Linked DNA regions of Neodiprion lecontei. The protein of the gene in region 3 purifies or fractionates together with the protein of the main gene of each other region. This does not show direct contact. Links are inferred from orthologs where the notes say so. Each region holds a gene or a part of one and is shown on either strand. Other genes may lie near its edges. The genes, in order: intraflagellar transport protein 122 homolog, WD repeat-containing protein 19 and intraflagellar transport protein 140 homolog.

Region 1 (13,160 bases), about 6.1 Mb from region 3:
GAAAAGTACCGATTGTTCTTGCCAAAGTAGATGGGGGATATCAGCCATTGATTGATAGTACCATGATAATATCCGTTCTTGGAACAATTTTAGAAGACAAGTATAAAAAAATTGAAGACATTGTCAAGTATTATCCAAAAATGTTTTGCCGAGATGCAAAAGGAACGTTCAAAGAAGAAATTGTCAATAAATACTTCCTGATGTATCAAAACAATCTGCCAAAGGAAAAGTCTATGAATTATATCGTGTGCGTACATTTGAAAAATAACATCTTATATCTAATCTTTTCCTGATCATTATTGTCATCGCTTCGAATATTTTCGCTTTTCATGCAGAATAAAACTGTCTCATTTTCCAAATACAGTATTTTGCTTTTTTCTGTTCAATGATAGAGAGGAACGGAAGTGGCGAAAATGGGCTGATGATGTCCTAGTTCACGTTTTATCTCCAAACGTTTACAGAACAACAACAGAAGCACGTCAAGCGTTCAACTGGTTTTCCGACGTAAGTAAAAACTGTTGTGCGATCACTACGCTCTGTGAAAATAATCTTTGTGTAGGTTAAAGTTACCGAATGATAAACCATGAGCAAAACCAACAGGTTGGTAGATGGGAGGAGTACTTTCCAATGTGGGAACGCCTGCTCATGATCAATGTGGGAGCCTATGCAATGTGGCTGATATCGAAAAGGCTCAAAAAAAGACACAGTCTCAAAGATGACGTTAGGCAGTCACTGTATGACGAAGTAAACCATTGGTTGAATGGCATTAGTGTTAAAGGAACGCAATTCATGGGTGGATCAGACCCAGATTTCTCAGACTTAGCTGTCTACGGTATTTTAAAAAGTATCGAGGGATGTGAAGCATTCAGAGATTTATTAGACCACACAAAAGTTGGCGTATGGTTTAATGCTATGCGTGAAAAAATTGATTCGAATCACGGACGACAATATGTCAAGTATTAAATTGTCATTATTATAAATTCACAAGTGTATGTATTTACTTATTTGTTAATTAATAAATATTAATTATAGTATAAACATATGGGGTCAAGCTTTGTACCAATCACAAACTAAAAATGAGATGGCCATTGCTCATTAGATGTAATTGTTATTCACTATAGATAAATTAAGTACATCACATTTATTCACAATATTGGACTGTGTCTAGAGAAAATTAGCCACCCTAAAAAATTTATCTTTGAACACGGTCCAACTAACAAAGGAATGCATTAAACACTTTCATATTAGGCATTAAATATGGTTGCTTTGGTTTAGAATATTGGACAAGCTATTTGTTGATAGTCTAGAATAAATCCTCTGTTTAGAACATCACCAGTTTCATCTCCGTTTGTAATGACGTAAAGAACAAACGGTTTTGAAGAACCTATAAAAAAAAAAGCGCTCTTATGAGTATCAATATAGCAAAAAATCTTTATTTCGTAACCAATCCTTTAATAGTATGAATTGACGAAAATGCGACATTCTATTCTACCATAATTTGGGTGACGATACTTACTGATAACAGTTACGAAACCGTTTCCACAGAAACGATCAACATCTAATGCGGTACCTGTTGTATCAAATGGATTTGGTATTATAACAAAATCTGCCGTACAATCTGTTCCAGTAACTGCAGCCAAGTCTGTCCCTGTTGAATGATGAAAGTTGAAGTTACTGCGTTGTGTACAGATTTTTTCTTTTGAAAAACTTACCAATTATTGTTGTGTCAAGACCGTCTGTATCTCCAGAAACAGTGAATGACAGGGTGTTGTCCTGTGACCATTGAATCGCACAATAGCCCACAGTCATTCTCACACAAACACCGTAATTCAAATTCACTAGTTGACGAGTACCGACCAGTGGAGCTGAAATTTTGAAGTGTTAAAAATCGCTGATTTTACAGTGAACGAGAATTATTTCAATAACGAAATAGTATGATATTTTACTTACATCTTGGATTCACTACGGTACCGTAATTGAAGCTTGTTACAGTGCCAGTAGTTGTAGTATAATATTGCAGACATCCACTCGGAGCTGAAATGAAATGTATGTAATAATGCTCAACTATTTTCATGTGATTTGAAAAGAATATTGGCAAATACTGTGATACGTACCACGCCATACAGAATCGCAGGCTATCTGCTGTATCCTGATATTCCAACGGCGATCAAATACGTAGTTCACGTCAGTATCGATCGATATCGTAATAGGAGCTGGTCCATCGAAATCTACATAAACTGTAGACAGAATAATAAATATTTTAGTATCTAGCTTAAGTATGCATATTTTTCGAATTTTTGCACGTGATAAATGTCAAATAAAGACTCAACATTTTTTTCACATTAAACTATACCGTGTTGATTGGTATTTTCTCCACAAATCCTGGGAACGAGGGTTGCTCCACCAGTTACTGTCAAAAAGTCTAAGTCACACACACCAGTTCCGTCTGGTTGGGCTAGGGAGAAATCCAAGAAATCCAAACGCAACTATGTGCAGTAGAAACCATTGTTTAAATATCTGAGATGATAAGGTCATTAAAGTTTTTGCAATGCATTCCTGCTCACCTGACAAATATGAGAATTGCAGGGACGAACGACAATTGTGCATCGATCTCCACCAGTATACGTTGTTGGATAATCGGGATTTATGAAATACGTATTGTTCATGTTCGTAGTAGAACCGCATGTTCTCACAACTGTGAAACGATATTATTTAATTTAAAAATGGGGAATTTCATCAAGAATCATAAGAGAAGCGAAGCATCTGTGGTATATGAAGAAAGCGCCAAAATCATTTTTTTATAGAATTTCTTTGCTCTAAACATTTATTAAAGTCAAAAGTTAACATCTTATCCTTCTGTCTACTTTTATTAAACTCATTATCGAAATATTAACGTACAATCTGCTACGAATATCACCCTAGGACAGATGCACAACACTTGATTGATTTAAAAAATTTCAGAGCACTTTTTCACGCTTTTGTCTAATCCAATCTGACGGATAGTGATCAGTTAAGGAATTTATTGTTATACTTACAAACACAACAAACGCCGAGGTTGTTGGCACAAGTCCCAGAAGCAGTCCCGGCGTAATTGGAACATTCACGTCTTGTAAAGCACGTACCATTCAGATTATTGCTTCCAGTACATTGAGTATTAGCAAATCTGATGACACTGAAGAGCGGAAAAACTATACGAAACAATAAAATAACGTGAATACATTAGTATCGACGTGATTGTATCACTTTTTGGGGTAAAATTATCCCTGAGAGATGAAACTCAACTATGTAATGATCGAACTTACATTTTCCTTGACGCTCCAATGGAGCATCTTGAAATGTCGTTGCATCTCCCAGGGATTGATCCCAGGCAGCACTCTGACCAGATGCTATCGTTGCGACGGCAAAAATCACTGCAAGCAACACGCTGAACATCTTTACAGTTCCGTACAACTGATTGAAAAGGTAGGATATCACTCGCCACTATGAGATCTCGGTAACGGAGTGCTGTTTACTTAGCTGTTGGAGCAATTATCATGTGCTTGATAATTTCCAACAACTGTAATTTCTTTCTTGGATAACTGTGACTATACTTATTTTACCGCTAGGTATACGTTTACTTATTCATTCTATAACTATTACTGAATTTTTCAATACTATGATATATTACTGTGAACTGGTCATTGACGTTATCAAACAATAAATAGCGTGATATGCATAATTGTTTAAAATTTATAACAACAAAGGGAGCTGAAATTAATTTGCTAACAGTCGATAAATAAATAGATTGATCATTTCTTTATTCCTATGAGGTGTGACTTGTTTTCTATAGATATTCCTTTTCACGTTGCGTGTCTTGTAATTTGTTCTGCTCTAGGTAACTGTGAACTTCTACAGAACGGACAGTGGCCGTGACGCAATATTGCCAATTCGTAGTCATCTGAATGGAATAACTGAAAAATCATAAACACACTTCTCGTTATATTAATTACAATACTTCTTCAAAGCATCTTTAGTGGCTCGTAAGAATTCGGGCACTAACAAATAAGCCCCAAGTTAACGGTACCTTTAAACATGATTTGCACAAAGTTATTTGAAGATCCGGCAAAAGATTTCTGAAATATCTGGTCTTGAAGGGTTTTGGCCAGTGTGCAATTAGTACGCTGGACGGTTCTATACTTGCTAAAACACCTCGACCAACGGTAATTCTTGATTCGCCTGTCTTATCCTGCGAACATTGAAAATTTGTGTAATATTTCTGAAAAATAATTGCAGCTACGAACGACAAGAGAGTATATATATAAATTGTTTGTAGAATTGTGATATATACCTCGTATCGTATCAAGCGAGCTGTAAACAGGTCGCCAACGGGCGTAGGTATGGTGAGTTGATTATCACTGATCAAAGAACTATCAGAGAGAGGTCTTGGCTCTTCGATTAATCTTTTGGCTTCTTCGTCAGTGATTCCTTCTTCCAACTCAAATTCAACTATAGGTAATATTTCTGGATAGGCAAGAGGTATTCACATTAAATAAGAAGAATATTGCGCTGACGGAATGAATATACAAAATAATAATCGACGATTTCTAGTGGAATTGGTCTCTCTGTTTATTTCCCCCATCTACAGTTTGAAAGTATTTACGAATAAAGTATCCTTTTGACTTGAACTTACCAAACATGACGAATGAATGCTGAAATTTAAGTCCGCACTGAACACATTTATTTCCAAAAATGTTGTTGGAAGGTAGAAGTGAATTGAAGGTAGAACAGCGGTAGCAAAGAGGTAGGAGTTCTTCAGGATCGCTGTAAGGATAAGCCCTAGCTGCCAAAGTTGAGACCTCCACTTGCGATAATAGACTTGCAGGAATTTTCATACCCCGTAATCGCTCAAAGAGCTGTGTTACCAATTTATGGGCACCGAGAATACGCGCTTGCTTAATCAGTGTATAAGTTATGGTGAACTGTGATACTCCTTCGACTTGTATATCTTGAGTTTTCATTAGCAAAAATCGAGATATATTGAACAAAGCCTCCGGCATCAATGAGGTGAATGGTTCTTCCTGAAACATGAAGGTATAACATTGTAAGAAGACATCCTACGATTATTGTACTGATTAGTCATCAACAAATGAATTACAACTCACCAAATATTTGTAAACTTCGTTATATGCGTAGTAAATATCAGCTTTATCATAATATATTTGAAAAGTTGCCATTATTTCGTCGGTACGCTTGCTCAAATCGAGGCTGAGTTGTGAAAGGATCCAATAGAAGTACGAAGCATCGCGGAATCTTTTTTCAGCCACAGCATTTTTGGCTAACAGTGTGAGAACAGATATCGATTCCTCAGGTTGACCAGCCATTTGAAATGCTGCCCATATAAAATCAGTTGAAATATTTAATTATTAACGAGAAATCAAACAGAGAACAATTTCGTATCGTACCTTCTTGAGCTTCAGAAAAACGACCAGTTTCAGCTAACCATCTTGCATATGGTCCATATACGCGAGATTTTAGTTTTGGATTTCTTTCCGCCAGTTCGAACGCCTCAGGCCATGCTTGTGCGTCTATCAAAACATCAGCGACGTCAGGATCATCTCCTAATCGACTGAATATTTCAGCAGCGCCATGCGTCGCGCCTAACTGTCTCAGTTTTTTAGCTATCATAGACAAACTGTCTCTCTCGGCCTTATCCAGTTGTCTTCCAACTTTGATGAGCCTGAATTGTTAAGATCAATGTATAAGAAAAGAAAATTGTTGGACTTTAAATTAGGCAGCTAATACACACATGTCGATCCAACCATATTCAGCAATGATATTAATGGCTCGTTGAACATCTCCAGCAGTGAGGAACATTTCTGCAGCTGCTCGAGGTTCTCCCAAACTTTTTGCCCACTCAGCTCTTCGCCTCAGTAAAATTGTTCGGTCCTGAGATGTAGACATAAGATCATTGGCTAAAATTCCTAAATTTTGTAAAATGAGATTAGAGCAAAAAAAATTAAAATTGTCTTTCATGTACCTGAGTGTTACCACTGGTGATAAATTCTTGAGCTATATCAAACATTCTCAAATCTGAATACATATTAAGAGCGTATTGTTGAAGTCCAGCTTTCTGATACAGTCTTGCAGCTTCTCGAAGTTTTCCCATTGCCGCGGCCGCAGTAGCCATGCAAGCTTCTCGACCCCATTCCCCAGAATTCAATTTTTCCTCAACTTCAGAAACGATATCGATATAACGTAATTTTTTAATACGCGAAAACGCCGCGTATGCTACGTTCAGTTCTAAGTGATCCAGAGCAGCAGTCCCCAAAGCGAGCCAATCACCTTCAGCTACGCCTAAACAAGCTATTGCAAAAGCTTCTTTAAACATTCCTCTTTCTAGGTACTGATACATAGATGATGACATTGGTACCTGAAATTCATTGTCATCTTTAGTCACTGTTACTAGTTTAGCCTAACAAGTTAAAAAGAGGTTTTGCGAGTTACATATTTGGAACCATACCTCTACCGTCAGTATCGCCGCTCCGTTTAAACAGTACAACTTGGACCCATTATGCCCAACAACAAAGCCGGAAAATTTTTGTTTGTATTCGTTAAAATCAGCGACTTTTACAGCCAAGTAATCGTTCCCTGAGTAGCACATCATATCCTCAAACACGGAATTGAATGCAACGCTTGTAACATCTTGGATTTCTCGTAATATTTCTTCTGTATTTAGATCAAACACCGTAAGCAAACCCGTGTCGCTTACTACGGCTAACTTTTCTTTGAGTGGGCTAATATCTAGACAGTGTATAGCACCTTCAACTTTTGCCAGCTGAGCTGGAAACGGATTGTCGAGATATATCTTTGAAACGTATCCGGTTTTCAATCCTGAAATATAATATTGACAAGTTTATTATTCATTATTAATTACTGTTAGGCTAATATCAATCTGGTAAGCGTAAAAATGAATTCAACCTGCAATGATGCATTCTTGACCTGATGGACCACCGGCGACTTTTATATAGGTAATAACGCCATCGAGAATCCACTCTCTTTCAATAATACCAGTAAAAGTTAGGCTCTGCAGTCGTTTGTCTAGGCACAGTACCAAATGGTTTGTGGTTACAACTAACAAATTGCAATTCAAGGACTGAGGAAGTTTGTCCCTGATGCGATAGTGCATTCCCTCGCTGTTTCCCGAAGGTTCATATATGATCACTCGTTCAGGTAATTGCACAGCGAGTCTATCTCGATAAACTGCAATTCTACAGACCTGAAATAACAATCGTGCAATTTCATTCGATCCAGGTTGGAGACGTAGGAATAATGAAAAAAACTTGAAGTACGGCTTACCAAATCTTTGCACTTAATTCGAACTTTTTGATTTGTAACCAGGTGCTGGATTATAACATCAGTCATATTTTCTCGATATGCATATCGGTCTCCGTACAAGCCGTGAACAGTATTCCAGGACAATTGAGAATACGTTATTGTTCCATCTTGACAACCAATGGCCTGGGACACAAAAGATGTTAGCCACTGTAAATCTATTTGCAAATTTCAATGGGATTGAGAAATAGAATTGAACGCACGACGTGTGAGGATCCTGGATGAACGGCGCAACTCCATACCCAGGATGAAAAAGTATCACCAATCGAAGCCAGCTGAATGCCGTCATGGGTCATTAATAAACAGCGTTTATTGCTGCCAGCTACAAGAATGTATTGTCCGTCAGGAAAGTAGGCTACATTCAGTGGAATGAAATTCAGCGACCTGTCCCTGCTCACTGTTTTTCCAGCCAGAGTGTAGAAGGAAAGACCGCCGCCCCAATCAGCGACGCATAACACGTCCACAGAATCGTCCCTGTTGTCGGTAAAAATAAAATTGACACTTCCAATGATTCTTTAGTGAGAAGAATGTTCCAGAAATATTTCAGCTTACTTCAATGGGCTCCAAGACAAACTCCAGATTGGCGTTCCCCCTGCACGATCAATTCGAGTCTTTTCTTCTCCGTTCTGGAAACAATCTTTCAACATTATTACGTTTCAATTAAAAATCTGAGATAATTAATGGACGAACCTTATTTCTGATAGAAACATATCCCAGCGCAAGTCCAATGGCCAAGTACTGTCCATCCTTTGTCCAAGCACAGCAATTTACTCTTCCTCCAGACTTCAGCTTCTGCACAGCCTTCTGTTCAGTGGACCAAAATGCGATGTCGGAAAGTGCACAGCTGAGCAACTGGTGCGAGACAGGATTAAATTGCATCGCTTGAACAGCTTCACTATGGCTAAAAAATTTGCTTTGCATTATTCATTGGCACATACAAAGGCTTACGTAAAAACGAACCGGCGTAAAAAGCTTTAGTAATGTCTTACGAGTATTTTAATATTCCTTCGAGCTTGGAAGTCCATATAATAACGCTTTTGTCTGCACTACCAGACGCAAACTTCTTTCCATCTCTCGCGTAGCAAACGCAATAGACGACATCTTTGTGTCCTAAAATGTAGATTTGAATTAATCGTGATTTGTAATCTAGTTTAGTTGACTAATTAAAATGCTGCACAATCTGGTATAATAGTGGAAAAGGAAGGGCATGATCTGTGTTATATTGAGCAATAAATTATAGGGATAATATACCTTTGAGTGGTTGTACAAGCGCACCATCATTGGTTTCGTAGACAAGGACTTGACTGCCAGCAGCGACTATTAATTGGGTTCCATCTGGGTTGAAGCAGAGATCATAGATGCTGAAATAAATTTGGGAACAATCAATTCAATAATGAGGATTAAGAAAGAAGAAGGAAAAACTGTTTATGAATGCGTTTGCATGTGGAAAATACTATGCAAACTTTGGTTTTCATTTGAATGCTGTATACACAAGAGTATGCATACAGATTAAACAAACTTTGCATATAACAGTGAAATACTGAGATACCTCATAATTGTTTGTTCAATTGTTTGCCGTGTATATAAATTTATGCTGTTATTGATCACTTACCATTGGTCTGTTTTATCTTGAACTTTATCAACCCATGTAGGATGAGATCTCATTTTAATAACTTCAGTGTAATAAAAAGGATGCCTCTATTCTCTAATTCGTTCACTAGCAATGAATTTAGCAGCCTATTGTCATTGTAATTTAGGTTCAAGAACCGTTAACCACTTGAGTCTACCCAAATGCATATATACATTGCTATTTACGTCTAATAAGCGCACGCTACTGGGTCGAATCAGTAGTTTGTTTTGATTTTTGACACTTCGCAAATTAAACCGGTTACCGGGGCAACGTGATCCAGATTTCTGTGGCGTTCTAACCTCACTCTACAATACTAGTCTCAAAGTCTCAACATTTATGAGGTTGAACTTAGTAACGTTGCTTTAACGATGCATGTTTACTTCGCACCCTTAGGATTGACTGAAATTCAGCTATTAAATCATAACAAATAAAATATGTTCATATACTGAAAAGTCAACTCCTTGAAAGTCGTTCTAAAATTGTACTACGATTTATTCCATGATGTTTTTTTACGTTAACGTTACTAACTTCAGACCTGTCAACATTTATGGACTCAACCTTAACCTAACAGAAATTAGTCGGGTTAGGTTAGGAAATTTCACGTGCCACATGCCGAATTCTACAAATACGACGCCTTCTCAGCTTACTCGATTATTAATATCACTTAGCACTGATTTAGCTGTAAGAAATGAAAAGATACTTATTATACATGAATTATATTGGCACCCACTTCAGGTACGCGTCTTTTATACAAGATTTAGTATATTTTGTTGTATATTACAGTCTTGCTTTATACTAATATTATAACAGTAGGTAAAATTTAGTCGAACCTAATTAATTTGTTTAATTTTCACACAATATACATGAACAATTGCAGTGGAATGCAAAGACAAGAGTCCATACGCACAATTCAAGGCACTATTGAAGAAGCATTGGCCGACTCCATTAAACCCCGAAGTCTATCTGAACCAATTCTTCAAGTTTCCAGCAGGTTTTAATTGCTGCTTATATGTTGTAAACATATTCATAATATGAGTATTAAAGAAATCGATGGGGCGGTTGAAAATTGAGTATAATCGAACACGGCTCAAGAATTTCCTAATTTTTACACCCACTGCAATTCTCACAGAACCGATAGCGGCGTTCATGCTCTGTCAACAACAGCCCACATCGACTTGATTCATCCAAAGAACGAGTCATACAATACGCAATATATGAAGCACAGACTAAATAAGACTTTTGCTAAGAATGGTCATGCGATCAGGTCAGTGTATTTATTAACTGTTATGCAAATCTTGGTCAACATTGTATCGATCTAAAATTTATTTACCTGTTTCAAAGACACGTATCAAATTTAACGACCCAGAATCACTTCCTGTTACCAAGTCAGCACAGACTTTCATGCCAGACATTCAGCCAAGTCTCGATCATATTTGTATCGTCTCATGGTTCCTAAGAAAGAATGTTATCAGGATATACCAGTCAGTGAGCTGTATCGATGTTTTGCACTTCTTGGGTACGCAACTATAACAGATTTTTATCCAAAAATTACTTATCAGTAAATTTCAGCTGTATAATAAAATACTATTGTCCGTTTTCAGTAATACTGGTCCCTTCGATGCGGAACGAGTAAAAAGGGGAACTCAGCTTTTCCTCGGACCTAAAGATTTTCAAACATTTGCTGGAAAAATAAAGAACAAGTATCAAAATAAAAAGGTTGTTTATGTCCGGCAACTTGATTACTTCACTGTGGAGAAGGGTCAGCCTTTAATGATTGATGATCCCCTTTCCACACAGTTCGATTACTGGGATTTCAGGTGTGGGGGTAGAGCTTTTCTTTATAATCAGGTAATGATCATCATTTGTATGGGTCAGACAATCGAACACTACGTTCCCCTATCTTGTCCTATTTTCATAATAATAATTAATATGGCTCTTTCAATATTTAACTTGGCAGGTTCGTCGAATGGTCGGAACCCTGATCACACTAGGACTAGGAAAAATTACGGAAAGAGATATTAGGTGTATGTTACAAGTTCCGTCACGTCATAACTGGGACTCGCGTGTTCAAGTATTGCCACCGTACGCTCTCTATTTATGCGAGGTAGGCTACGACCCGTTGGACTTAAAAAAGAATATTATTTGCGAAGATCAATCATCTGTAGCTGTTAATTAACTGAACATCATTTTACGTAGTGATAGTCGATATTTTACATTTTTTACCTAAATAATAAAAAATTTAAATAGCAGTTAACAATCACTAATTCTTAAAAGTGGTGATAGTTACGTTGCTGCTGTTTAATTAATCCTCCGTCATGAGTCTGAGCTCCCTTTTAACAGCTAAGAAAAAGGAGCTAAAACACTGTAATACTGTAGTAACTAACATGCTGGGTGAAAAGTACGAAATTTTAGGAAGCGAGATGAGATTAGTAGACAAAGGACTACCATTCATCGTTGATACAAAACCCGATCTACAAATGGCTATGGTGGAGCCTGGTTTATACTTTGGCTCTCAAGATCCAGCAGCTGATATAAATATATTAGAAAACCATGGGATACGGCACATTATAAGTATTGGTATAAAGCTGGAAATTGTATTTAAAGATATTCATTATTACTTTATAGATTTGATGGATATTCCGGAAGCTAAAATTTCAGAGGCATTAAAAACCTGCCTGAGAATAATGCGTGAAAAAGGAGGTCAGGGCGTTTTTATACACTGTAACGCGGGTGTATCTCGATCAGCTTCCGTTGTGATAGGTTATTTAATGGTTAAAAAAAATCTATCATACGATCAAGCTTATCAGGAGGTGAAATCTGTTAGGGAATGCATAAGGCCAAATGACGGATTTGTCAAGCAATTGAAAGTTTTGGAATTCTCTGATTTTACATCATTGTTGTAGCGAGTGGTAAATAATGTGGATATTCTCTTACAAGTCTAAATTTGCTGTAACTATAGAAAGAAACAATGCATGAATTTTCGTAATTATTGTATTATTGAAATATGCTGTGTTTGTACAGCCAAAAATAGTCGATATTATTAATACACATTAAACGCAAATGGATTCACAAAACTTGAGCATTTGTTAAACAAAAATATTATCCAATCCAGAAATCTCTTAAGAACAGAAAAAAAATCAACACAAGTCACCGTTCTCCGCACGTAATATTTATCAAAATTGAATGAATTTCGTATGTTTATTACCACGCCTTTTTTCGGCTATATGCTACATAATTCACTTTTAATATTTGCAGACTTTTCTAATTTCACTTGGACGGTTTGTTTCTTTATGTCACACACGCCTATCGTTTGTATATTAAATATCAAATGTAAATTCAGTAAGAATAAAACGACCAAATTATGCGACAGAATCTGAATAGTACCTTCCTATTGTGAATTTCAAAGCAAAGCGCTTCGCGCGGAAATCAAGCCTCGTCCTCGTGTTTATCGAATTGCCGTCGCCCTTAGGACCAGGCGCATGTATGTCTACCTATAGGTATTGGTCTGAAACCAAATCTTACTTCTTGTTTATTAAAAAAAAAAGTAATTTTTCATTCATAGCTGCCTATATAATGATTGGCTAAAAATTAAATGAGCCATTTTATTAATTGAATGTGTATGTATAGTACGTATGTATGTATGCAATATTTATACGTATATATAGTTAATATATGCATTATGCATTGATAAAACGTGCATTAATTAAGATTGTTGATTCCAAGTAGACTTTTTATAAAAGTTGCTGAAAATCTGAAAAATATAGTAGTAAAAATTTCAGTGTGCTGTGTTTGGTAATTCTTTAATCGATGATTATTAGCTGTCATTTTTTTTTTGCTCGTCTCTTGACAGTGGTATATATGCAATATTCATCTGGTTACACATGGTTAATCATACAATGATTATTATCAATATCATATACATAAACCTAATATTCACATTCCTCCAACAATTGAAAATGAGCTGTCTTTGAAGAAAGTAGACAAGGCACTTGAACCGAATAGTTTTCTTAACTAGTTGGCCTCATACATTGGTATATGTGATTTTGCATATCATACACCAAAGTTGAATGTTATTGTTGTTGTTGTTGTAAAACAAAATTGAATAAATAAAAATTCACACACTGAACAGTATCGTATACTCTATTTGAATGTAGAGTAA
Region 2 (9,941 bases), on a different chromosome or scaffold from region 3:
AAAATTTCTGCACACTCTTTTCTTAGAGACCGTGGACTGTCCACATCCATGGCTATGCTGACACCTTTTCTACTGTCTCCACATCTTATAGACATTCTTGCGATGCCCGCAAGACATTGACTCCTATGATTGATATTTTGAAAGGCCAAAGTCGACTGAATGTTACTATCGACCAATCCTCGTTCATAATTAGCTAAAGCTTTTGGATAATTCCCTCTGCAATAATAAATCTGAACAGGTTACGTCCCACAGCGTATCTGACAATTATCTTTGTTCTACTTAAAAGACTTTCAATTGCTGAAATTTATGATAGTCATTTATGTTGTTATATGGATCAGCTATGGCATGTACCACGTGGAATTTCAAAAAGACCTACGTAAATTCCAATTGCTGAGCATATTCTCTAGCTATAAATGGAATCTCTTCTGGCTTTAATTTCTGTGCTAAATTGAGAGCTTGTTCCCATTGCATCAAATCTCTTCGTAAATTCAAAGCTTCAACCGGTTGGGAGGAGCGTAAGAAGAACTTTTCAGCTTGATTGTAGTCCCCCAGTAAGGTTGATGTGTGGCCGCATAATAATGCAAGTTCATCTATGTTCTCTAACTTTTGCAGGGACCACACAGTTGACACATCTTCTACGTGTCTATAAACTCGTAATGCTGGAAACGATTATCATTGAATACAGAACAATTCTACCACTCATTATACCGTTTCATTTCAAACGGGAAAACTATGTTTAATGAGTAATGATATTTCTGTCCATAAGAAATTAATGAAAATCTAAGATTTCGGTAGAGACGTCGTATGTCTTGCATATATATGCACGGCTGACAAAATAATTCTACAAATGCAGAACCAATATACAAAATAATTTGTTGATTTGCTACAAAATAAGGCTCTATGTGAATATAAATATGACTTGAGCTCACCAAATTCTATGTTCAAATTAGACAATGCACTTGTTCCCAAAGATTGCCAGCATTCACGATCATTCAATTTGACACATGCGTCCCAGGCATGTTTGAACCTACTCAAAAAAAGAATAGTCACTTCGCTGTGAAGGTTCTAAAAACTCGAGAATAGATATATAGATGTACAATGCAAACCTTCTACATGCGAGGTGATTTGCTAAAATTTCTTCTATTCTTTTCGTATCAACAATATTACCGATTTCTTCGTGTGATGATAACGTTAGTTGCGTTAATCTACTACCAGCTGTACTTAATGTTACTTCACCAGAATACATCAGCATTGGTAAAGTTTCCACAGGTAATTTTGTTTGAGAGACTTTCACTACTTTGCTTCCTGAAAAATAATAACGTTGTTCGTATAATATTGTTATTTTGCAAACTTGGAACAAGTGAATAGGGAGAGTGCTAGTTAATCTCTCAATCGAAATTTTCAATAGTCAAGTTAGTCGAACTTTGCCTAACAGAGTTGATGGTGGGTTGAGCAATTCGAAGAATATCGCAAAATTGATTTTCGAAACTTAAAAAACGAGAAACCAGACTAAATAGCTGCATTGCAATGACAGTAAGAATGGATCAGGTGTTTTTGTACCTTTGCAGTTTCTAGATCTAGAAAAAGTTGAAACGACTGCAGACATTAAAAACTTGAATTCTATAAAGGGATATAATTTCTTTTCAACGAATTTAAAAGGTCTCAGGCTATACGTTAAATATTTTCCGAATTTGAATTTGAAAAACAGTTTACATATTTTCGTTCCTGTTCCTATTGTAAAACCTGTAAAGGTATCGCTTCACCATACCAAACTAAATACAATAGTTTTCAATGTGTCACGTTGTTGTTGAACTTGTGTGAATTGCTTGCCGCTACTCTCAACTTCACTGCAAGTGCTAAACCATGTCCCTGAGGCACTCTTTTACGCTCTGACATCTTCATGGCTGGTGTCAACCATTTTAATAATTATGCATACCTTCTATATGATATTTCACAAAAATATAAGTGACGATAATGGATTGATTGTATACTGCGAATACGCCACGCTCAAAAATATTTTGATCCCATATAATGCCTTCTATTGAGTCTGGACATTCTGGTATTTGAATAATGTTTTCGTTTATCGGATCGTAAACATATGCATCATATTTTTCATCTACAAAAGACAGCTGTGTTCCATTCGCATCTAGATAAATTTGTTTGATCCCACTATTGTGTGTGACTTCGCTAGATTGATCAAACGCCTCCAAGTAGAAATATACTATCCGTCCCATCTGTAAAACATGTCATTTAATTAGTAGATCGAATCGATTTTTGAAAAACTCGAAAAATATGGTTTATTGAGTATGTAAAATTACGCATTTATATTTGAGTCTTCTATAAAGTCTTACATCATTTCCGTAAACTAAAAAGTCGGGCGACAAAGCATGGCACGTTATTTTAGAATCCAAAGTGTTAGTTTGTGGAAATATTTTTGATTCAGTTGCACCGTTTGCCGAGTCCTGTTCCGTTTCTATCTGAAATAAAACCGCCAAGATTTTAATTCTTTATCTCTTACATTTTGCATACACAATGTAAACTCACAGTGTGTAATTGAAGCTTTCCATCAAACAGAACGGAAACAAAAGTTTGATTCAGGCATATACTCTCGACTGTCCCTAAGTAATCCCTTTCAAAATGTACAGGGTGATCATAATTGAATTTTGTTAAATTCCAAAATAATACTCTGTTATTCAAAGCTGCTGCTAAATGCAAAGGACCGACAGCCATTACAGATGGTTCTATCAGGGTATTGATTGTCTGCGGTGTTGGTTTACTCTGAAAATATTCATTTGTGTCATTATTTCCATATTCGGATAATAATATATCTATGAATATTTCGTAACGTCACATTTATTTTAAGCATGGTTATACTGATACAAACTGGATATGAAATACCAGATGGGGAGCTACAGGTGTGTAATTTCTTTTTAAAACATCCTAATCTTACCCAATCAACTTTGGTACTTAACATAAAATTGTACAAATAATTGGATTGAATCCCTTTTTTTGTCATTGTTAATATATTTTTCAGCTTATTTTTGCACCCAATTATTAACCATATTATTTGCACACAGTTTACGTACCTTATCAAGCATATATAAATGTACAACCACTTCAGTCAGGCTTGTTAAAATGGCAATTCTATTTCCACATACGCTGGTTATTTTTGGTAATTGCAATAAATAAATTAAAATGTTTCCATTGTGCGTCGCGGCGGCTAACATACTACCATCGGATGACCATTCCACGTGACTGATGCCTGTCTCTCCTGCCAAAGTTATCACTTTATTGGTTTCTTCTAAATTTTGTATACTGTGTACTTTCAACGTATTGTCGCCACATGTTACAAGTTTTCCAGCGATATTGTTCAGTGCAATATCATTTAAAGAATCTCGATGATTTTTGATTTGAAATAACTCTTGTCCAACTTCTTTGATATGCGTTGATATTGCTATTAGAAAGCCAGCCTCGAAACCAACCAATATGTAACCATCGCCATACCTGATTCACATTTTATAAAATACGCGATATAGATATTAAATTTTTTCGTTTTCTGTGATCAAATACCAGATATATTGTAGTAACGTATGCATTTTTCATAATGAACTCACCACTTGTGAGTTACGATTTGACCATAGCGCTTTTGAAACGCCAATTCAATGGGATTGTCTGGATCCAAAACATTGTATAAAAATAATGTAGTTTTGCTGACGACGAGCGATACCTGTTAAATAATACGGTTGATTATTAATTGCTTCGTACTTTTAATTGCTCGTTTTACCAATATCATACATACATCAATTAATTTTACTGCTATGAGCAATTTTCACCTGATTTTTTTTATCAATAACTGAAGATATGATTCAACAATTGAATTACAAATCACCCACCTTCTGTACCCCAAGAATAAACTAAATTTCACAGTTTCTTAAATAGATTTGAGAGACACGAATCTTATAAAGGGATCAGGTTGTGATAAAAGCATTCTAATATAAAATCGAGTCTTTTTTAACTAATAATTTCTTTGAAATTGTATATCAAATAGATAGCATACTGTGTTTTCACCGCCGATTCTCTGGTCCATTTTCATTTCACTAAATTGAAGGTCGGATGGCTCTCCTTGTATTGTTATTTCCCTACGTGTATCACCTTCGCACGTACTGATCGATAATACCTTATCTTCACTTGCCAAAGCAAGGAGGCCCTCCAATGACCAAGCGCCGCAAACAATTTTCTTTTTGTGCTTACCTAGAATAGGAATGCGTCTGAAAAAGAAAATTTGATATATCTGTAACATCTTATCAATATAAATTGGAAATGAGAGAATGTTTTCCTATCCATAAAGTTTTAAATCATCGAGGGTGTGCAATATAATTGGAAAGCTATCTATATACTGATAATGACTGTTCTATTTTATGTAGAAAAGGTCACGCACTTAGCATTAATATGATCGTAAAGCGCTAGGTTTCCTTTTTGCGTACCCACTGCAAGAGTGCAGTTCTTTTTCGACCAAATCATGCAAGTTAAACTATCTCTTAGTCCCGTGTCTATTTGGGATTTTTTTCCTGTCGTTGCATCCCACAAGGTAATAGCAGATGATCCGTTTGAAATCATAGCCAATAAATCTCCGTCGGCATCCCAACCCATGCCCGTACATAAACCAGGTAGTTGAATACGGTCTTGTATTTCCCCTTGGCGGTTGTATATCACAACTGCGGAATCGCAACCAGTTGTAGCTAAATATGTACCGTTGCCAGGGCGCCAAGCAATGTACACGTTTCCAGGACCATGCGGTTGGTCCAAGCGGTATAAAACCTGTGCACAGAAGTAATCGATTCAATTCACAATACGCAGAGATGAGAAAGAACTGTTTTACTGTGAGATGTCGCCAATATACATAAATTTTGTTTACGAACTCGAAAGCAAAAATAGATATCACGATTTGCGGACACACACAAAGCTAGTGTAAACTAAAGTGAGTTGTGTACACGTAAAACTCAAGTAAGAGAACTGATATGAGAATAAAAATTTGGAACTTTGGTGGAAAAATAGTGACTAGATATAGAAAGCATTAAAAACTCAGGTGCTAATTTTACAGTTAATTTTCAATTTGCAAACATCTATACTTGACAATCGATGGATTAAGAAAAAAAACACAATATTCAGGTGATTTTAAAAAACATATTTTACCTCATCAAGAAATGTTTAGGTAACAGCACAGGGGTGAGAATTTGTAATTAAAATGTATATAAATGAAGCTCTTCATTATCTGCTTGAAGCGTATTGTTGAGCTTTAGTTTTAATTAAGTAACGTAATAGTTTGATGTTTGACATTAATTCATAACCTACCTTATCTGATGCCATTCTTGCAAAATGGCAAACAACTTGAATCTTTACTAATAACTAATACATGGGACAGAAGTCATGATTGTTTATGTTAGCATCAACTCATTACACTGATATCGATTTATTTGACACATTTTCAAACTGAATGTCACTACAATCTCCATGTTGTTTATTACGTATCGCGTTTGGACGCGTCGCATGCAAGGCCGCAAACAGGGAGATCGAGATTTAAACTAGCGTGTGAAACTGTATAGGTGTGTTTCTGCCACGGTGTAAGAATAAGAGGTGGTCCGGTGTTGAGCTCTGTGGTTATTATGTCTTAGTACGACGGAAATCCGCCAGGGACCTCATGCGTCGGTGAGGATGAGGTAAACAATAATGGCGGCGATCTAACAGACAGTATTCACGAAAGTTTGACGTTTGCATGTGGAAAATCAAAACTGCTGCTGAAGATTACACGAATACATTAATATTTAACAAAATAAAATAATTTTATGATGAATGTATGTGACTATAGAATATAGGGTCCTAGATCACGCCTTCGGAACGCCGTAAAGAGATTTCGTATTTACGCCAAGTAGCACTAACATCTGGCATCTCATTTAATCTCATTCGAATGTATTTGATTCAGCACGGCCACATTCGAAACAAACGGTTTTCGAAATAGATATTTGGCCTGAAACCTTGCTAAAAATCTAGAATTTTTTTAATTCGTTTAATTTCATGTACGGATTGTGCAAATAAACAGTTTTAAATGAATTTTTGTTCAAGATGTTCTGTGCAGATTAGTTATTTCTTTGAACGATCTTGAAACTTTTGCCAAAATCTCATGAAGACATTATTCTTTGAGAATGACTAAATTTGTTTGAATTTTAGTAAGAACCCATTTTTAGAGAGGGCTGACATCGATGAGCGTTTCAGATACGACTTTTATTATGGTATTGCTGGAACTTTACAGAAATATTATTCTTTCAAACATTTGCTGTTAAATTTCAGCACTTTTTTGACAATGTCCATCATGTTCCATCTTAGGGTGGATTGTAATGCAATTATACTTTCAGTTCTCACAATATATGATATATACATTTGAAACGGTCGTTAAATTTTCCCTTTATCAATGATATGCGATTGTGATCATATTTTTCCTATAATGCAAGACTTATAGATCATCCTTTCTATTGAACACTGATGAATTGCTATTTTAGCACATTGGATTACATACTATTGCTCAAATATGTTGATTACTCGATAATTCAGTGATAATGAGGATTCGATGAAAGGGGAAGGCTTAATTTTATTCTACGTACTTTTGACTTCTCGATCGTACTTTTATTATATGATTTAATTCAATCACTTATTGATAGTGAGTTTGTGAAAGAAGAAAATCATCTATAGGTACAATAATTAGGTATATTATCATTTGAATTTGTTATTGATCGTGTCTACATGTTACAAATGAATGCAATACACAATTTTGATATTATTCAATAATACGGCAGTAAATACTTGATATACAATATGCAACGCGTTTATGCAACAATTAATAATTCTACATGTTACTCAAAGCTGAAGGGATAGTAAATACTCTCAACAAATTGGTATACAGACTATGAAGATAACTTCTGAGTAGAAATAGGTCCAAGTGCATACTCTAATTATCGTTAGAATTGGTATCATCGACAGACACACTGGTACCTTTTGATCCGAAAGTACGTTTTCCCGTTTTGCAATTATTTGTTTTATTTCATATCACATGAGAGATGGAATTATTGTAGTTTTATTATTTCAATAATTTATCTTCACGCATAATCCAAACTCGATATTGGAACAGGAATATCTTAGAAATTGAGTATCTAATGCGGATTTTTTATTGATTTCATCCAGCGAAGTAAAAATTATAATGTTTCACAAATTATGATTGCACACAATATATCAGTACAGTACAATGATTCATGATCAATTACAGAGAGTAATGTATAACATCTTTGGTTAACTAAAAGAAATAAAAAATTATATACTAAAATCGTATGGTGAGATACCATCTTATAGAGTTTTATATGGATATTATAATTTGCGCGGTGACCATGAAATGACAACCCTAACATTGTGATCTATGATACAAATACAGTGAGACACTTTTTCACATATTAAGAATACATACCTAAGTATATTGCAATGGAACCTGAGGCTACAAAATTCTGATGCCGTTTTCAGCTTTGTTTCAATATTACTTCAAGTCGATCACACTATCTTTGAACTAACAAAAACAATTCTACCCTGCGTATTTAGAAACTTGTGGTAAAATTGAAACAGTTTCAAAACTTCGATTTGATTCCAATTCAGAATTTTGAGTTCAGGCTACCATCACGCATTTATTCAATAAATATAGTATGTATGTGTATATATATATATATATATATATATATTAATATATACACATATATACATATATATATATTAATTTTATTAAATAATTATTCACTTTGTCACTGTATAGTTTAACGCTGAAACAGCGACAATTAAGCTCGTGCAAAGAAAACTTAACTTAACGTAGTAAGCACTTTGCTGGAAAATAAAATAATCCTTTTTAAATACATGAGATTCTTTCGTATTTACAAATTTATTTCGTCTAAAATATAATTCAAATCCATGCAATCAGGGTCAAATAACTCGATGCATGCTTAATATCTTGGCAGTTGGCAGATTCACTGTATCAAAATTGAATTTTGTACATATATAATTTTTTGGGTATTATAGCAAGTGTATTTCATTCCTTGGTCGATTTTTTCATCTATCTCGTTTCACTCATTTCAAACATAGAAATTACAGGAGTGCTAAAAAATGGTGCAATAACAGCAGTTATAAAGTAAATATACGAGATAGATATTTACACTCACCCGTGGTTCTGATTCTAGCTTCCTGCCAACCACCTATTTATTCAAATTTTCATAAATTAACATTTAACTTCGTGTTTTATATTGTGAAAGTTTCGCCAACTTCGTTCCATGTAAGTTAGACTTGAGAAAGAACAAAATATGACGTGTACTAACTATGGCACCCCAACAGAATACAACTGCTATGGAAAATTATTAGAAACTATATATTTATCAGATATAGAGTATAGTTAATATTGATTAATATGGCACCAATGGTCAGTTTAGCAATATTTGAAGTGAATTATAGTCTGCTGGCTAATTAACTAAGAAAAAAAAAGAACATTAGACAACAAAATAAAACGGAACCACCTAAATTTTTCATACAACTCACATTAAAGTATTAAAAATGTCTTGACTCTAACAATATGTGAACTCTGCATGGTTTTCACTTAAGAGTTAACTTCTCAGTTTATTTGATACACTTTTTTTTACTGTTAAATGTTATTTTTTTGTTTTTTTTTTTTTTCAAAAATGAAGGCCACTCAATTCAGAAACTACTGCAAGCTACAGATTTGCTGGTAAAAATCTACAATACTTTAAATTGCTTAGTTATATAATAATATTACTTATCATTATTTATTTTTTTTTTCTGTGTCTTTTTTCATATTGTTTGGAATAACTGCGCAGAGTAAAAATTTAGGATTTTCACATCAAGTATCGGGTTGTAAACTATTCCTACTATTACTGTAATTTATTTGGAGCCATTTCTAAACAATCGTGTTATCTCTAAGAGGAAGAGTAATTCGAGACACAGGAAATCTAAATTGAAAATCGATATAACGAAAATTGATGGAATTGCGTTAATCTTAATAATCTACAGTTGGTTGTGCAAAGGTAGGTTGTTATGTGCACGCTATTCATTTGTATAAAAATTTTGACGTGGTCATTTCATTAGTTGCGATTTTTTGTCTAATTAAATGGTTTGACACTTTCCTTTTCAAACCTATTGAAGACTGCATATCCAAAAGTGAACTGAAAATTATATACTTGAAAGCTATTTCATTATAGATTAACACGTGACTATCAATGTTCCGAACGATTGTTTGAGATTTCATGAGATATCCTATTTCAAGAGTTCATGTCCCTGCCAGCTAATTATAAAAAAAACAATCTCTGCATTGATCTTTGTATTAGAGAAAACACGATATGAACGATTATCGACAGGTAACTGCTACAATTATGCACAGTATATTTTTATGCGCTTATTTTTTAATACACATATAAAAAGAAAAAAGAAAATGATCCGTCTACTTGTGTCAAATAGTTACTTCCATCCTGTTTTTTACTCCAGAAAAAAAATGTAGCAGTTTAATGATTGAAAACTTAGCTGCTCTAAAGCAGTTTCAGTCAGTAAAGAGATCATCACTTCCTTTTGGTCAAAACCTTAGGACTATAAAAGTGTACGGGGTACTGAGAATTGTTTTTGCTTTGGAAACAAAGCTTGCCTACTCAGTATAAACGTAGTGTATTTGCATCCAGAGGTGAAAACAATATTACCTCAAAGCACATTTTTTTCACCGAGTTTTTTATACCTAGTAACAGTTAAGTATGCCATGTATAACGTAGTGTAATTCTCGTAACTATGTTAAAACAAAGCCATTGTTACTATTCCATTGAGTTGTGCACAATTCATTTATTGATACATGATATTCTTTT
Region 3 (10,069 bases):
GTAGGTTTTGCTTATTTTCGCAATATCTACTACGTAATAAAGTTGAACAGGAAAGCTGACTGATTGTAGAATATCAGAAAACAAATTTACCGCCACGCTAATTTGAATCACAGATAAAACTGGCGCTGAAAGTACTCAGCTTGACACTTGAATTGAACACGTCATCAACGACGTTGTTCACCACTGTTCACCACGTGGTTATTCCCGATGTTTTCAGCTGAATATCGCGTTCAATCATTTGAGCCGCGAAATGAACAGGAATAAAACGAAATTTGATAATTATGCTGACACGCGTAAAAATTTGATGATTGGTTTAACTATGCGGACAGAGTAAAGGACTGCAAAATAATTCCATGATGATACGAATGTTTCAAAGATGGACGCCCTGACTTTTGGTTCGCACAGGTAAACATAACTCTGGCATAGATCCAATGTTTCGCAAGTTATTTCATAGATAATTCATGATTCGTTGCATTATTATGAGCCTTATGTTTCAGACTTGTTCACCTTGACCTCAAGGGCGCTCCACCCCGAGTATCTTACCTTGAAAAGGTCTGTATTGCAAGAAATATACAGATACCCTACATATGCGCAGCATTTGTTTGTTTACGTCTTCTAATTTTGACAGCTGTCAAAAGGAGGTCTTTGTTCTTTTTTTTCGCATTCTGCCCAGTAAAAGGCAAAGTCAACCAGCACTCTGAGCTGATTTAATTCATTAAACAAAACATCTTTCTCATATTTCATTTTGGGTGAAACTAAAACTGAGAAAAATTTAATTACACATATGATCGCATAATCGTCTTATATTTATCGTTGCATCTAACCTAGAGGCGATATTATCCACTCGTTTCTTATTTTGTCAGTTGTTTCCGCTGCTGCGATCATGGGGTGCTACAGGACTGCTGCTAGAATGGGAAGATACCTTCCCTTACAACCGAGAATTGACTCAAATAGGAAGCAATGGCCCAAACAGCATAGCCAACGGCTATACAATGCAAGAAGCACGACAAATATTGCAAATCGCAGGAGAATCTGGGCTAGCAGTTGTGCCGTTGGTTCAAACTTTCGGCCACATGGAGGTAAAGCTGTACTTAAAAATTTCATAGTAATAAAATTCGTATGAATATTTTATATTTACTTTGCCATTGGCTCTGAACATTCAACAACTACGGCTCAAAAAACTGAACAATATGTCAACCGTGTGTAAATTTAATTACGCCTCAACTATAAGCACAATTGAAAAATATTCTTTTCCAGTTTGTATTGAAGCATGATGAGTGGCGATCGTTACGAGAAGTTGAGCTGTTTCCAAGTTCGATGTGTCCTTCAAACCCAGCTACATTACCGCTGGTGAAGTCTTTGATACGTCAAATAGTGTCCTTTCATCCTGACATACAATATTTGCATATAGGAGCTGACGAGGTCTGGCACATGGGGTTATGTTCAGTCTGTATAAAAAGAGCCACTTCCAGCAAACATGGGAAGTCCGCGTTATTCTTGGAACATGTTTTAGCTGTCGCGCAACATATACAAGAGACATATCCGTATTTAAAAGTTATCATTTGGGACGATATGTTGAGAAACATAGACGTACAGGTCTTAAATGGTGCGTACGTATCTAAGATATAAATACTACTTTATTTACCTAGTTTGTTAGTATTCAACGTCATGAGAAAAATTTTAAGCCAATTATCATCAATACAGAACCTTCTATTACAGAATCATTAGCATGCTTTGAGTTTATCTTGTGTTTAGCATAGACAATGTGTAATATCCTCTACTTAATATACTTTTATCATTTCAGAACATTATATTGGAAAATATGTTGAACCAATGATATGGCATTATAATTCCAGAGAGACTTTTTGTTTGCCAGTAGGTTAGTACTTTTCGAATGATGTATGTAGAGCCGATAGCAAATTTCCTGAATGTTTTGAATCTATTTATTGTGAGTTAAATAACATTGTAAGCATTACACAGACACTTATGTAATCAACTTTCAGGTTTATGGGACAAATATAGTGTTATATTTTCAAATATCTGGGCTGCAACAGCTTTTAAAGGTGCTACCGGATCCTGTCAACACATACCCGTGATTCAACATCATATAAGTAACCACGAACGATGGTTAGAAGAGTTGAGTACTCATGTCAACAAAGTTTGTGAATTCCGTGGAACTGCATTCACCGGATGGTCGAGGCATGTGCCGTTTTGCTTATTTTATTATCACCTATATATATGAATAATATCAGTCGATTGTTTTTCTTTACTTGTTCACCACCAAGACTATAGTTAAAATTATGCTGAACAGTCTGTGTAATGTATTTCAGATATGATCACTATGCCACAATGTGCGAGCTCCTGCCAACAGCAATACCATCTCTGGTGATGTGCTTAAAAGTCTGGCTGCACGGATATTCCGAAGAAAGACACCTAGAAGTAGCTAAAAGCTTGGGCTATGTAGACCATCCACTCCACATAGTGCCGCAACAGCGACCAGCTCCCATACCAAACAAATTGTTATTCCCTGGATGGCAGCTTGCAGTAGGAATCGAATGGTTCCTTAACTTCAGAACCAAGTTTCACCATGTCGTTGATAGCGATCAGTAAGGGCAGAATATTTGTACTTGTACATTATCAAGGTCTGTTCTAAAAATATGCCAATTCCTCAACAGAATAGCAACATGGATGAATCCTTGGCAAATTGCAAACAACTATACAAATCCTATGCAATTGGGGAGTTTGGTGACGGCTTTGAGCGAGTCAGTATTGTTTGCCTAAGTATTTTAGTGCACATTTTCCAACTGGTGTTAAGTTCAATCGAAAGCACTCAATGTATTTTGGATGTGACGTATTAGTTCTCTATGTTTTCATAAAATTTCAGTTTGTTGTTGGAATTATCATCGCTGGAGGGCTATATCCGAGTTCAAATGGAAGTTATTTTGTTTCAACCGACCCTGGAAGAATGGACTGGTACACATATTTATCCCCTGAAGAATAGATTGAAACAACTAAAACAAGATGCAGAGAATCAGTTGAAACACGGCTGCAGGGTGTGAAGATTAATTGTACCTCTTGACGAATTTTATTGGAATTGGGCAACACAATCACTTGAGGTGCTTCAAAGTAAAAAGACAACCAAATATCAAATTCATTCAATGAATTTTAGCGGCTAATAAGTTGTACAGAATTAATTAAAACTGGCCGAATCAATGCTTGAACGTGATATATTATAAGTATTAAACGTGCCATGTAATTATGAGAGGGGTAATAAACTGGATTTGTAATTAAGAAATATGCCACCGAGTTTGCTGAACATAATCATAAACAAACGATAGCACAGTATTTCGATATGCAAGGGTGTCAAAATTATATCGTCAATCTTAGACCTGCATATTTTTCTGGAATAAAAGTAGGCAGACTTTCGAACTTCTAAAATCTTTTTATATCCTTTGATGTGTCTGTCAAATTTTAGATCAATCTTTCGAAAATGCCCACAAACTTGTAGCAAATACTCGGTGAACTAACTCAATTCTAGTCTGTTAATTTCATATCGTAATGGTTATACGAAAAACAATGACAATATCGAATGTATGTACATACATACATACATTCATGTATACATTCATATACTCATACATTAATTTATTAGCTGTCAAGAAAACACACAATAAAATATGAAAATGTATAAATTGGAGAAATTAAATGAATTCAGAAAGTTTAAGCTTAATTCAAGCATTTGATAAAATAATGTAATTAAAAGTGCCTATCATTTGGAGTACATTTATATGTTTTATGGAGTATTAGGTATTAGAAATGTCCAGACCAAGGGAACGCGATGAACAGGAGGCACTCAAGCTGGATGAGCAGTTCAAGGATTCTTTGGCTCGAGTTAGACCTTACATTTTAGCCCTCACAGCGCCTGAAGATGTGCAGCTCTGCCGGCTTTGGTTGGATAAACTGAGCTATGCCTCCACGCAACGTGCACTCAGGAATGAGTATCTGATGGAACTATGCTGTCAAGTGGAATCTGGACATGTAGGTGGGATGTTTAGCCAACCGCCGCCAAATGGACCTCTGCCAGTGTTAAGGAGATCGTATACTCCAATGGTACAGTATCTGAAGTGAAGTGGTTTAAAACAGAGTGTGACAAAGAATATTTGAACGAAATTTAGGTACACGGAAGTTCCTCGTGGAGCGAGTTATCAGATGCGAGCACAATCCCATATTGCGGATGGCCAAAGAATTATGCAAAGAGCATTCAATGCCAGTTCACCAGGAGTAAAATACCAAACCAAAAACGTGACACTGATTCGACCAGTACTGGTCGTTGCGGTCACATCACAAAGAATATCAGTGCATCTCGATGCTACGAGGGAAGTAAAGCGGACAAAAATCAAATCGCAATTTACGAACAAAGGATAGAGACCTTGACCACTATTGTGAAAGAACTGCAGATACAAAATGAACGTTTAAATCAAGAACTAAATCGTTTGCAACAAAATTCTACTGCAAAGGAAGTGCCTCACCTTCACGCTACTATCAAACAATTATCGGCAGAAATTGGAACGTTGAAAGCCAAGTGGGTAACAAAATCCGGTAATAAGCTATGTCTAATATGAATCATCAATTTTCTCATCTCTAGACTAATGGAAGTAAAAAAAATGAAGGATTCTCTTGAGGCAAGCAATGAGGAAGCCCTCCTGCAATGTAAGCAAAGTATGGATGAAAAAATTACAGAGTTGAATATGCAACTGCAAGAATTCCAATGTAAGAATAGTACCTTGGAAAATAATATTGTTGAGCTGACTGCCAATTTGGAAAAAATTACTAGGGCAAAGGTACGACTGCGTATTACTCTTTGTTGGCAAGTAGTGACAAGCTAACAGAATTTCTAGTTCTATTTCAAAATCTACAATGTATACATGATGTTTGAATCAAAGGATGAAGAACTGTGTGCAGTAGAAAGTAGTTGCTCTGAAAAATTGGAAGCTGCACGACAGCAGCACGAACACTTAATCAAACAGAAGGATGAGGAACTGCAAAAGAAAGATACAGTGATCAGTCGGAAAGAGGAAGAATTGGCATTGATTGAGTTAAATAAAAATGCTGAAATTGAAAAACTGAAAACGGAGATTGATGGGCTACAGAAGAACTTGGAGGCAAAAAAAGATGAAGTATGTTCGCAGTTCATGAATTTTTTATCTGAATCATACGTTTCTTATGTTTCAATAACGCCGCACAATGACCGTATTTTTTCACAGGAAGCTAAATTGAAAGCTATTGTTACTGAGCAGTGCTCAACAATCCAGCGCGAATTTAATAAAATGAGGGCAAATATGGAAGCGGCGAATCAAAAGCAGAATCAAAACCTTATCAATAAAGTGGCCAGTTTAAAAAAAGGCATTTTAAAATTGGAAAAAACTAAAGAACGAATGAGCCATGAATATGAGAAGCGCATTTATCATATTTTAAAGGTGCATATTATTTCCGAAATACATTTTACCCTCTTTTGAGATATTTTTTACAAGTTGCCTACACAATTATTTGCATATCAGGATAAAGAAAACGAAGTTAAAGCCTTGCAGCTACAACTCCAGGGTCAGCGTAGTGAATTATCGATGTCACTGAGTTCGGAAAAACAGTGCGAGCTAGACAGTCTAGTTGAAAGCTTGGAAGAACGTTACAGATCACTGTTGGCTGCCGCAGATGCGAGTGCTGGCAACCAAAGGCAAAATTATCTCAAGGTAAAATGTAATAGTGATTTTCACGCTTGTATAAAATAATATATTCTCCTGTTTGCTTACGAAAATTTATGATTCCTTTCAGAAAATGAGGGTGCTAGAATCAGAGCCCGCGTGTTTTACCTAAGTACTTTAAATGTCGTCGGTTGATATTGTAATTCATTTTTGAAGGTAAATTTGTTTGTATCGTGAAATTCTTATCAACATTTTATAATAAACGAAATGCTATATTTTAACTGAAATTGAAATTCGACACCGAGTAAATGAATATAAAGATATTTCAAAAGGTTGGAAAAAATTAAACTTCAACATACATAAATAAGAATTTACTATTTGCAATTTTTGTTAAAATACATATAACTAAATAAGTTGAATGTTCTTTATTTTGGGAAATGTATGATGCATTCTAAATGAATCGCTTGTTGACAGTTAGGTGACCCAAATGACCCAAATTTTCTTCCTTGCAGTGAAAATCCGCCATGCGCGTTTTCGATCAAATAGGAAACTAGTAGAATTCTAGAAAAATCAAGTAAAAAAGAACCGAGGGAACTCTTGGTTTAAGAAAAAAAAAACTGCTAAATAAATCTGTCGATCTGTTGAATAATTAACGAATTTTAATCCCGTATACGTGCTCAATTGTAACAAAACTTGACTAACTATTTCTACGTCAAGTGTTTGTTTACACGAAATGTCAAACGATCGATACACAATTGATTTTGCTATGAATTCGTTATCGAGAAACAACCAAAGCGAGCTTAGAACGTTTGAAAAACCGTAAATTTTGTCATTGATATCAGAGCTTCTAGACCGAATCAGTCGATATTAGGCGCCGGTTGTGATCTAACCTATCGTAGTTTCACGAAAATGCTTACATTTAGTGTTACATCTGATACTGAAATAATTTCAGACCCTCGTTTGCCTTGAGCCGATTTGGGTAATTCAAACGCCACGATTAAATTGGAGAGCATTTCATAATGTCGCTGTATTTTGATACTCGAGTACAAAATCCTGAGACTGCTTCTATTAGTACATACGCTGCATGGCATCCGAACTATCCGCTGTTAGCTGTCGCTGCTTATTCGCAAGACAAAGGAGGGTTTGTTACAATTTACGATGACTTGGGCGAGCCTCTGCAGGATGTAGAATCACCCGCGCACTCTGTCGCCCAAGTCACCGCCATTGGGTGGCATCATGATAGACGTTGGCTAGCTGCTGGATGGGAAAGTGGGGAACTTCGGGTTGGTATAAACCAGCCAATATTATTATTGCAGTCCGTAGTATAATATGCTTTAAATAATTATAAACCCTCATCTTGTTATTCAGGTTTGGCCAGGTGATTCTGGGGCGAATGAATTTAACATTATCGTCACGCCACATCGAGATCCTATTACAATATTGGAGTGGAGCCAGCATGGTGGACGACTTGTGTCCGCTGATACAGCTGGCTCTTTGATAGGATGGAAAATAGACCCAAGAGGACAGCTTCTAATGGTGTTTCACCATGAATTAAAAGATTCTTTCACTCACATAGCGTTCAAAGTCGTTCCATCGAAGCCAGTTATTGATATTAAGTATGTAACGCAATTATTTCCCATAAAGTTGAAGATATTTACTTTGTTTCTAGTGTTTCTTGTAATCTCAAGAAAGCAGTGACTGTACTCTTTACCTCGAATATAACTGTGGTATTATAATATTATAGTGGCCTGGCGAAGGCAGCAGTAGCTGGTGACGAAAGGGCGTTAGATCTTTTTAGTTCTTGGCGACCAAGAACGGCAGCTCCCATTGCAGTTACAACGCAAAGAGATAATCACGCTTTTTACATCGGAACTATGAATGGGGTGGTATATTTTGTTGATAGTCAAGGGCAATGTATTGAAGTACTGAACACGGATGGTGCTACTTTGCATTGTTTGCTACACCATCAATCGCGAGACTCTGTAGTCATGATGACGGAAGGGCTGAATATTGGGCATTTTCAAGCAGATCCTATCACTGGTCGCCTCACCGAGCTCACCAAAGTAAGGAATCGTTCTTCATCTCGTAGCAAAATTTATTCGCTATCAAATGATGTAAAATTTTTCAAAAACTGACAACTTTCAGGTGAAACTAAGTGGCAAGACCGACATGTCTCGATCCGGTCCTGCTCTTTGTTGGGCAGGTACAAATACTCTGGCTGTATTAACAGGGGAACTAGCTATCAGATGCTGGGATCTCCATACCGGAGATACTTATGTCTTATCACCACCAGACACCAGTAATGGAAACATTGCAACGCCTCAAGAGATCTGCACGAGTCTATCGTACTGCAAAAATAATGGTATTGAATTCAATGAACTAATAAATATAACAAATTTTTTTTGTAATTCTTTGTCTCCTTGGACCTATATTCTCAATTCTTGTTCCAGAAACCCTAGCAGCTGGTACAAATTTGGGAACAATTTATCTCTGGAAACATAAAAATGCTTCAGATGCAGAGGATAACGGCTGGCCAGCAATTCCAGAATCCTGTACAATTCATGGCACAGTAAAACAGCTCGCGTGGGGTGCCACAATACTTAGAAATCCTCTTCTGGTTGTCAATTGTATAACGAACGTTTTCATTTTGCGACAGCAGCCAATGTGCGCTGCTTACAATGATAATATATGCGCCAGCCAGTTGGCACCCAAGCAAATCCTGCTGGAAACGCATGGTCAAAATTGTGTTCTGAAAACTGACCTGCAGGTACAGGTTGTAGCGGTGAATAAAGATTATGTTGCCGTTTCTTCTGGGAGACAAATTGCCGTTTATAAATTGAGCAGGGAAAATTCCATATCCACTACATTCGTCGGATCCTTCAATTGCGACACGGAGAAAATACTGATTTATGAAAGTACTCTAATTGTGCTGACGCCGCTCGTCATTCAACTGAGATCTATAGAAGGCAGTCTAACTCAAACGCTGCCTACATCCCCTGAAGAGGGTGAACCAATTACAATGGAGCTAACTAGCCGATATCTGACAGTTGCTTCACTGAATGGGATTCTTAAAATTTGGGACGTGAGCAAGAGAGAAGCCAAATTGTACACAAGGGCTAAAGCTGTTTTTGAAGCGATTGATGATTTTGCCGAAATCATTGAAGCTAGGTGCAACTCTGACTGCAGATGCGTTTCAATCACTGTTGCAATGGCTAATTTAATGCCTAGTTCGATTTTTTATGTTTGGGATATCGAAAGCGATCAGATCTATGAATATAATTTTGCTGATCCCGAAGATGGGCATGAAGAATCTCCTACGTAAGTTGTCGCACCTGACTATAGCAAAGAGAGCTGAGTCGCTTTTTTTTCAAGCTTCTACCTTATTTTATTGTAATTATTCTTAGAGCAATCCAGTGCAAAGGTCGATTAGTGACTTCTCATTGTTGGGACGATGATGATCCAAGACTTTTAGTTTGCCGTGCACAAAAGTTGGATTCTGCGAACTCAAGACCTCCATCACAAATAATACCCACCCCTGCTCAGGTACGACTACTGTATTCAAGATTCGTTAAACATTTGTGTCATCCTAAAATTTCCTATTTAGTACAATTACGAGTTTGTTATTTGTATTTTACGTAAAGTTAACGCAATTTATATCGATTCCAGGAACCATTAACAAGTGTTGTGTTGATAACAATGTTTGCAACATCAGATCATGGGATTGTAGTACAAGATGTACGTTCAATAAAAGATGAAAACTGCAGATTGTTGGGAGTTCGCACTCCGCATATAATGATTTTGAATTCAGAAGTAACATTTGACAATGAGAGTAAAGTACGTTATATAGTAATGCGCGATTTTGAAGAACTTGGCGTATGTGATACGGTGACAAAAAAAGCAATCCTAGATTTTAGTTTCTATATAAGTATAGCCAACATGGACGAAGCCTTCAAAGCGATCAAAACAATTCAAAATGAAGCCATTTGGAAAAGTCTGGCAAGAATGTGTGTCAAAACCAAACAGCTGAATATGGCTTCACTCTGCCTAGGCCATATGAAGCATGCCCGAGGAGCTAGAGCCTTGAGAGAAGCGATGCAAGACGACGATTTAAACTTGGACGCAAAATGTGGCATATTGGCAGTTCAGCTTGGTTTATATGTGAGAATGAACAATTTTCATGCATAATATTGGTCAGAACAAATACATCCACAAAATATATATTGATCTTAAGTTCAGAAAAATAAACATATATATTTTTCAGGAAGACGCAGAGCGTCTTTTTCGAGATGCGAATAGATTGGATCTTTTGTGTTCTATGTTAGAAGCACGTAACAAGTATGAGGAGTCTATAGATCTGGCAATAAAGGAAA

Evidence for each region.
Region 1: the proteins of intraflagellar transport protein 140 homolog (region 3) and intraflagellar transport protein 122 homolog purify together in Homo sapiens (affinity purification with mass spectrometry; 4 studies listed by BioGRID and IntAct, counting the BioPlex papers as one, with this or other methods). This does not show direct contact. The link is inferred for Neodiprion lecontei from reciprocal best matches to the Homo sapiens genes IFT140 and IFT122.
Region 2: the proteins of intraflagellar transport protein 140 homolog (region 3) and WD repeat-containing protein 19 purify together in Homo sapiens (co-immunoprecipitation; 3 studies listed by BioGRID and IntAct, with this or other methods). This does not show direct contact. The link is inferred for Neodiprion lecontei from reciprocal best matches to the Homo sapiens genes IFT140 and WDR19.

Annotation. Positions count from the first base shown.
Region 1 is NC_060261.1:2,454,889-2,468,048, reverse strand, and holds intraflagellar transport protein 122 homolog, read right to left. Parts: upstream 9,416-13,160; 5' UTR 9,037-9,415; coding exon 8,984-9,036; intron 8,733-8,983; coding exon 8,623-8,732; intron 8,482-8,622; coding exon 8,361-8,481; intron 8,273-8,360; coding exon 8,062-8,272; intron 7,998-8,061; coding exon 7,924-7,997; intron 7,846-7,923; coding exon 7,575-7,845; intron 7,498-7,574; coding exon 7,336-7,497; intron 7,256-7,335; coding exon 6,958-7,255; intron 6,871-6,957; coding exon 6,500-6,870; intron 6,410-6,499; coding exon 6,017-6,409; intron 5,926-6,016; coding exon 5,786-5,925; intron 5,717-5,785; coding exon 5,442-5,716; intron 5,369-5,441; coding exon 5,142-5,368; intron 5,058-5,141; coding exon 4,670-5,057; intron 4,501-4,669; coding exon 4,328-4,500; intron 4,226-4,327; coding exon 4,064-4,225; intron 3,951-4,063; coding exon 3,840-3,950; 3' UTR 3,809-3,839; downstream 1-3,808. Other genes in the region: prostaglandin E synthase 2, read left to right, coding at 1-247, 393-504, 601-963; uncharacterized protein LOC107221624, read right to left, coding at 1,272-1,384, 1,517-1,648, 1,713-1,865, 1,951-2,034, 2,115-2,237, 2,354-2,486, 2,565-2,695, 3,036-3,188 and 1 more; tRNA pseudouridine synthase A, read left to right, coding at 9,690-9,736, 9,879-9,992, 10,131-10,265, 10,368-10,517, 10,603-10,849, 10,959-11,177. UniProt on the Homo sapiens protein: As a component of the IFT complex A (IFT-A), a complex required for retrograde ciliary transport and entry into cilia of G protein-coupled receptors (GPCRs), it is required in ciliogenesis and ciliary protein trafficking.
Region 2 is NC_060265.1:8,947,570-8,957,510, reverse strand, and holds the start of WD repeat-containing protein 19, read right to left. Parts: upstream 5,579-9,941; 5' UTR 5,368-5,578; coding exon 5,353-5,367; intron 4,819-5,352; coding exon 4,439-4,818; intron 4,269-4,438; coding exon 4,058-4,268; intron 3,728-4,057; coding exon 3,615-3,727; intron 3,505-3,614; coding exon 3,087-3,504; intron 2,779-3,086; coding exon 2,545-2,778; intron 2,478-2,544; coding exon 2,352-2,477; intron 2,235-2,351; coding exon 1,937-2,234; intron 1,306-1,936; coding exon 1,107-1,305; intron 1,028-1,106; coding exon 930-1,027; intron 660-929; coding exon 377-659; intron 217-376; coding exon 1-216. UniProt on the Homo sapiens protein: As component of the IFT complex A (IFT-A), a complex required for retrograde ciliary transport and entry into cilia of G protein-coupled receptors (GPCRs), it is involved in cilia function and/or assembly.
Region 3 is NC_060261.1:8,580,331-8,590,399, forward strand, and holds the start of intraflagellar transport protein 140 homolog, read left to right. Parts: upstream 1-3,688; 5' UTR 3,689-3,816; coding exon 3,817-4,110; intron 4,111-4,175; coding exon 4,176-4,582; intron 4,583-4,645; coding exon 4,646-4,841; intron 4,842-4,943; coding exon 4,944-5,177; intron 5,178-5,264; coding exon 5,265-5,477; intron 5,478-5,558; coding exon 5,559-5,747; intron 5,748-7,067; coding exon 7,068-7,315; intron 7,316-7,443; coding exon 7,444-7,762; intron 7,763-7,844; coding exon 7,845-8,061; intron 8,062-8,149; coding exon 8,150-9,017; intron 9,018-9,103; coding exon 9,104-9,242; intron 9,243-9,365; coding exon 9,366-9,857; intron 9,858-9,960; coding exon 9,961-10,069. Other genes in the region: hexosaminidase D, read left to right, coding at 377-405, 498-552, 864-1,079, 1,258-1,606, 1,805-1,879, 2,004-2,199, 2,331-2,606, 2,676-2,762 and 1 more. UniProt on the Homo sapiens protein: Component of the IFT complex A (IFT-A), a complex required for retrograde ciliary transport and entry into cilia of G protein-coupled receptors (GPCRs).